Linked DNA regions of Danio rerio. The protein of the gene in region 1 interacts with the protein of each later gene in a biochemical or structural test. Links are inferred from orthologs where the notes say so. Each region holds a gene or a part of one and is shown on either strand. Other genes may lie near its edges.

Region 1 (3,848 bases):
GTAAGCATGTATTTGATTATAATTACACAATTGTAATTGAAATTTTCTTTAGCTCAATAATAATTTCATGAAAATAAGAATATTGTTATTTTATAACTATTTATTATTTTAAATAATTGTCATAAATATATGATAGTTGAAAAATTACTTGTTGTAACGTGTCATTCAGGTCAGCTGCAGACACATGCGTACTGTGAGAATCCTGATATCGTCTTGTGTGGAAATAAATCAGACCTGGAGGAGCAGCGTGCCGTCAAAGCGGAGAACGCAAGAGAACTGGCAGAGAAATACGGGTGAGAAACTCCAGATGCTTGTTTCTGTCACATTCAGCCAATACTGCATTAATATTGACTCAACACCTCATCAGAACTCAGTGTTTATCAGCTAAAAGCATTTGATTTCCTTTGCAACCGAGAGTTAGGAAACAGTCATGATTTTATTAGGATTTTATTCTGCACATTTTTTTATTGAACTCAATAAATTGGGTTAAAATGTAAACAGCTCCATTTTAGATTAGAAAAATGAAAAATAACATAACCCAATAACATTAATTTAAGTCAGAAAATTAAGAGTCTGCTTTGATTTAATTGTCAGAAAGGAGACTTTTTGATTTTTTTGACAGTCGTAAATTAAACGGCTTCATTTATAGTATCACTCAGTGGTTAGCACTGTGCCTTCACAGCATGAAGGTCGCTGGTTCGAGTCCCCACTGGGCCAATTAGCATTGCTGTGTGGAGTTTGCATATTCTCCCTGTATCGGCGTGAGTTTCCTCCGGTTTCCCCTACCACAACCACATGCACAGTATGGGAATTGATGAACTAAATTGGCAGTAGTGTATGTGTGTGAAATGAGTGTATATGGATGGTTCCCAGTGATGGATTGCAGCTGGAAGGCCCTCCACTGTGTAAACACATGCTGGATGAGTTGGCAATTTATTCCGCTGTGGGGACCCCAGATAAATAAGAATGAATTAATGAATTTATTGGATCTGCTCTATTAAACCTTCTTTTTTAAAATATTGCTTTCAGTCAGCTTGCCTTTGTCCCAATATATATATATATATATATTAGAGCTGCACGATTCTGTCTAAAATGAGAATATAAAGTTTGACTCATAGAGGTGTAGAAATATTATCTGAGCTGATATTGTGCTGTGTTCAGAAGGTGCAGCGTCTCGAAGCGTGTTTGTTTTAAGGGCCGAGTCTCCAGTGTTTGCCTAAGATGAGGACGGCTCTTGTTAAATGTCACACGCTACACATGCGGGATACCGAAAAACTAATATTGACTGTGTTAATGTGCGTCTTCAGTTCGGACAAGCTGAATGCAGGATTATGCTCCGTATAGCAGCAGTGATCACTCACTCACACACCCTGATACAATTTATCATGCAGCTGAGTGTGTGCTGCTCTCATGAAAACGTCAGGAGAATTATGTGTATTTGCTCTTGATTATGTTTAGAAAAATTATGCATGATGTAACATTTAATAGTAAAAACTTTGTATTATATTATATTATATTATATTATTTTATATTATGTTATTTAGGATTATAATAATTAGGATTATTTTTAGAAATTTCAGTAAAAATAATGTTTATTAATAATAATTCTTATTAATATGTTCTTTTAATTAGGGAAATTAAACATGTATATTTTTTACATTGCTAGTCAAACGTTTAGAATATTGAGGACTATTTTTGAAATATCTGTACAACTCACTAAGGCTACATTTATATAATGTTTTTTCTATATATTATTATATAATATTTTTTATCTAAACATTTTTATAATTTTTATTTATGATTTATAATGTTGTTTTTAAAATTATTACTTCAAAATGCATTTATTATCACTTGTTTTTATATACATATATTAATCGCACGGTTATTTAAATAAAAAATTAAAATGTTAAATATTTTTTAACATAATGATTTTAATGAATTAATAATAATAATAATGATTGTTATATTCAATTATAAAAAGAAAAAATGTATATTTGTTACATTGCTAGTCAAATGTTGAGGATATTTAAGACTTTTTACATACATCTTATCAAGGCTACATTTATATGTTGTTTTAATTTATATGATTTATTTATATATATATTTTTATATTATATAAAATTATTTGTATTAATTACGTTTTTAGAATTATATATATATATGTATGTATATGTATATATATATTCTAAATATTTTTTATTTATATAATTTATGTTGTTTATGTTGTTTTTAAAAATATTACTTCAAAATGCATTAATCACTTGTTTTTATATACATTTATTGTCACTCGGTTGTTTAAATAAGAAATTTAAATGTTACAATATTTTTTAACATAATGATTTTAATTCATAATAATAATAATAATAATAAAATTAATATTTAAAATTAGGGAAAAAAAGTATATTTCTTACATTACTAGTTGAAATTTTGGAATATTTAATACTATTTTTAAAATATCTGTACATCTTATCAAGGCTACATTTATGTTTTTTCAGACTTTTATGTTTTATTTATATTTTATTTTTATATTATATAAAATAATTTGTTATAATTAAATTTTTAGAAAAAAAAATATTTTTATAATGGTCATGAAAATAATACAATAAAAAGGTAAAATATATTTTTACATATAATAATTGTCATTAATATTAACAACAATAATAATACATACACACACACACACACATATATATATATATATATATATATATATATATATATATATATATATATATATATATATATATATATATATATATATATATATATATATATTTTTTTTTTTTTAGGACAACAAAAGGGGTTTTGCATTTATTTTTTGTTATTTTCTTTTTAAATGAATTTATTAAATATATAAATGATACAATGAAATTGAGTCGGAAATAAACAACAATATATAGTATGTATGAAATATGAAGTAATTAGTTTGAAACTGTATTTTTTGAGGAGTATTTCTGTTTAACTGTTGTGTATTAACAAAATGTGAAAGAATTTTCAAAAATTAAAGTTAAAATGCCAGGCTTGACTCAGATTTAATTTTTGTTGTCTATTTAATAATTTCTTTTATGGGGATTTTAAGTATTGAGTCAAGTAAATAAATTCCATACTGATTTCTTTTCAGACATAGTAATTAAAAAAGTAATTGCCATAAGGTTACACCATGTAATTGTGTTTATGTTTTTAAAGTAACATGGCCAGCACGTGAGATCAGTATTGTGATTTATTTCTAATTTATATATTTAATTTTCGTAAAAATTGTAAGAAATATCATCTTTGCAACATGCAACAACATTTTATTCCAGTATCATTTAGCCCTAATTTAAATACAACTGTAATGATGTTCTCCGTAGTTAATTAATAATTTGAAGTAATGAACTGGTGATCAGCATGTGATTTATGCTCATACGACTGTAATGATGTACTCTCAATGTACTGAAGTGTGTTTTTCTCCTCAGCGTGCCATATTTCGAGACGAGCGCGGCGAACGGTGAGAATGTGAGTCGTGCGGTGGAGGTTCTGCTGGATCTGATCATGAAGCGCATGGAGAGATGTGTGGATAAATCCTGGATCCCCGACGGGACAGTCCGCAGCAACGGCCACAGCACCGCCGACCTGACAGAACCACACGACCCCGAGCAGAGCAAGTGTGCATGCTAATAATCAGCGTAAACCCCACGCTTCACTCTGTTTTAATCTCAGTGATGGACCGAATGTCTCTTACATCTTCACCTGGAGCTCAGTCTTCACATTTCCAGAGCACTTTACACCAAATACCCACAATGCATCAGGATAGATGTGTGTCACGGGTGTTCTTCAGTCACACATTACCATAAGGTTCCATTAGTTAA
Region 2 (3,948 bases), on another chromosome or scaffold:
TTCCCTGGAAAAAACATGACCTGTTCAATACTTATTCCCCCTGCTGTATATATTGTTGTTCACCTGAAGCTTAATTTTCCTGCAAAAAGATTGTTTTTTTACACATATTATTCTGATATGGAAAATTTGTAATTGAATAGGGTGTCCTAACTTTTTCACACAACTGAATATTTTGCAAATTAGTCCAGTAATGTGCACATACTGACCGGACTCTACCTTCCTCTCGGCTGCGGAGTTCAGCATCTCTCAGCAAAACATTGAGGATTACCGTTTGCTCCACCTCCGTCAGGTGACACAGATCTAGTACAGGTTCCTTTTCCATTACAGACACACCTGACGCCGAACACACCGGGTTATTAGGATAATGATGTAGATGTGGTTCATGAGAAACCACACCTAAGAGAGCTGCTGATAGAAATATATGGGAACTACAAGAGTTTTGGTATTGTGATAAAACACACATAAAGGATTAATGGTAACACTTTACAATGAGTTTACATTTGTGAATATACAGTGGAAGTTAGAATCATTAGCCCCACTGGATATTTTTTCCCCAATTTCTAAACATAATAGTTTAAATAACTCATTTCTAATAACAGATTTCTTTTATCTTTGCCATGATGACAGTACATAATATTTTACTCGACATTTTTATAAGTGCAGTTTAAAAATATTGCTTAAGGGGGCTAATAATATTGACATTAAATGTTTTTTTTTTTTAATTAAAACCTGCTTTTATTCTAGCTGAAATAAAACAAATAAGACTTTCTCCAAGAGAAAAATATTATAGGAAGATTTCTTTATATTTAAAATTTCTTGCTGTGTTAACCATCATTTGGAAAATACTTGACAGAAAGTTCACAGGAGGGCTAATAATTTACTAAACTATAACTTTACGTTTCAGAAAATAAATTCCAATTTCAAGAAATTATAACCAGTATTTTGAGCTCTAACCTGCATGAATGTTTATTATGGTCCTGCATTAATGTTCATTCATGTTCTCCAGATGTTCATTCATGTTCTTACTGCTGCAAGAACACGGTTATATAAAAGAGACTAATGTTTTCTGTTAATTTATCCACCCTCAATCCTTCCAAGATGATTTTTTTTGGTATTTATTTAAAAAAAACTGTTTTATTGTTATTGTTTTTGACTCAAAGATCTGGTAATTGTTGACCATTTCAATGTGGAAATGTAATTGGTCCTTGAACATTTCCTGCTTGTCACCATACTATTTCATAACTGTAACAAGAGGCAATTCAACCCTATTTTCACGTTAAATTAGCTATCATAACATTATTTATCAATATCTTGACCTTTTTGGATTATCGTAAGCTATGGAAATTAAAAATATAAAAGAGGAAATACATCAGGATATATACATCATTGTTATTGTTTACATTCCTCAAAATGGTCTATACATTCATTCACAGCCAATGTAAATTTTTAGGGGAATTCTCCTTGTCAGAAACTTTATAATCAGTGACTTCAATACTTGTTTTCCCCATACTATATATATATATATATATATATATATATATATATATATATATATATATATATATATATATATATATATATATATATACATACATACATATACATATATATATATGTGTGTGTGTGTGTATATATTTTTTATTATATGTGTATATATATATATATATATATATATATATATATATATATATATATATATATATATATATATATATTACCACAAATTACAATTTTCTACGAAAACTGTCGAAAACTTTGACGATGGTAAGCCAAAGTTAATTTGTTTTCCTCACCACTAAAATCACATGCATTTAATGTACTCATTCAAATGTATGCAAAGCTGTACAATAGATTTCATTAATTTTTTTGTATTTCCTATTATTTGTTCCAAGCTTTATCTTAGTGTCCAAATGAAACTAACAATAGTTGATTTCATTATAAATGTTTACGAGCAGCAGTAAACTTAATTTCAGGTGAACTGACAGACGGAGCGATGCTTGAATCGCGCATGCGCACAACAAACCGGGCCAAACGACAAAAGTAAACATAATTGCTTACCAATTCGCAAAGAAAGTGTTTATCTGCTTCCACAAAATTACATTAACATAAACTAATGCAACGTAACTCCAGTTAATCAAGTTACTGAAGACTCTCGGTGAGTACATTTTATAAAAACTCGAGGAGAAATGAACAGATGGAGTCGCACCTGTCAACTCTCATTCGCATCAAAATCAGAAGTGAAAAAGTACCATAAGACGCGAACAATTCTGCTTTGAACGACAGTATGTTATGTTTTTACCTCATCTAATGTCTTCTGCATAGTTTATTCCGGTGTTTGTTTCTTTCCCAAGTTTAGTTGTCGTCAGTTTGTGAACAGACACTCATTTGTGTCTGATTTGGCAGGACTGGCACTTTCACACCCGCCCTCGTTTGGGCACAGAGCAAAATGCGAACCGGATTCCCACCGAGCACGCGCTTATTTTACTAATTACTCTCTCTCTCTCACACACACTCAAAGTTCTGACATTATGAGTTTTACTGTTACATCTCGTATTTTTGACATTCCCCTCTCTGAATTGTGACCTTGTATTGTAATTGTTTATTATATATATTTATTGAAAATGATATTTAATCAATTTCTCTGTGATTTTGGTGGATTTAAACAAAACAATTTTATTAAACAGTTATATCTATTAAAATAAGAGTTTGGCAACCTATTATATTTAGGAATAGGAAGATAACACATGTGAATTCAAACAAGTTATTGAAAAAAAAAGCTCTTGACTAAAGCCAAATTACAAAATTTCAACCAATGGTTTGTTATTTCTGTGTTTCTCTTGATTTATCCGGTGTATTAAAACTTTATTTCATATTTTCCCCAACGTATTAATTTAGGCATACTCATTTTCAGTTTTTTTTAAGATTAGATCCAGTTTTTGCTTTGATACTGACTAATCTAATGTCTATGCACAAATATATTATTGAACAACATTATATATATATATATATATATATATATATATATATATATATATATATATATATATATATATATATATATATATATATATATATATATAAATAGTATTTATCTCATTGGAAATCGTGCAAACAACAAGAAATGGTTAGTGTAATTACTATTAATTAAAAATAAAACTTAACTCTGAGAAAACGTTGTGAAGGTGATGATACACAGACAACTTTTTGGTTATGTGCACATAAATATGTCATAGGTTTTGTGAAAGAAACACAAAAAAATGTCTTTCTTTACAATTAACAAAAATGTGTACGCTCTGTGCTCATGTCTGTTACAGTCAGTTCCTGTTTGGAGTCTCTATCAGCCCACACCTACAAAACACACACTGACACACGATCAGAAGATTAGAAAAACACCAGACAGACAGAGACATACGTTGTTCACTGACCCGTGTGTGTGGCGTCTGTTGATTGAAGGTTGATTAATATGGCTTGGATGACAAATTTGCTCACACTCTATTTAAATGTACAATTCACGCTACTAACAAACCATTAACTAAGACTTTTAGCTCAATAAACTACTAATTGGCTGCTTATTAATAGTTATTAAGGTTGGATTAGAGATGTTAAATAAGATCATATGTTATAAGTACTAATAAACAGTTCATATCTTAAAAGGCATGTAATAAGCCAGTAGTAAATGGTGTGAATTGTTACTTAAACTAAAGTGTTACTATTCATCATATTGCAGCGACTCTCTATTGAACTAACTTCTGTTGAAGCCGTTGGTTTAAAAGGACAGGTTACCCAAAAATGACTCACTATTTACTCACTCTTGTGTAGTTTCAAACATTTATGAGCTTCTGTTTTTCTGTTGAACACAAAAGAGGATATTTTGAAGAATGCTGGTTGCTGGAACTCATTGACTTCAATAATAATGTTTTCCCTACTATGGAACTCAATGGGTAGCTA

The links.
Region 2: the proteins of rab27a (region 1) and sytl1 form a complex in vitro, tested with the Homo sapiens proteins (3 studies listed by BioGRID). The link is inferred for Danio rerio from reciprocal best matches to the Homo sapiens genes RAB27A and SYTL1.

Annotation. Positions count from the first base shown.
Region 1 is NC_133193.1:3,156,987-3,160,834, forward strand, and holds part of rab27a (ras-related protein Rab-27A), read left to right. Parts: intron 1-169; coding exon 170-293; intron 294-3,455; coding exon 3,456-3,657; 3' UTR 3,658-3,848. UniProt on the Homo sapiens protein: Small GTPase which cycles between active GTP-bound and inactive GDP-bound states. In its active state, binds to a variety of effector proteins to regulate homeostasis of late endocytic pathway, including endosomal positioning, maturation and secretion.
Region 2 is NC_133194.1:45,489,542-45,493,489, forward strand, and holds the start of sytl1 (synaptotagmin-like protein 1), read right to left. Parts: upstream 2,423-3,948; 5' UTR 2,305-2,422; coding exon of another isoform or gene 2,300-2,304; intron 409-2,299; exon of another isoform or gene 334-408; 5' UTR 323-333; coding exon 207-322; intron 1-206.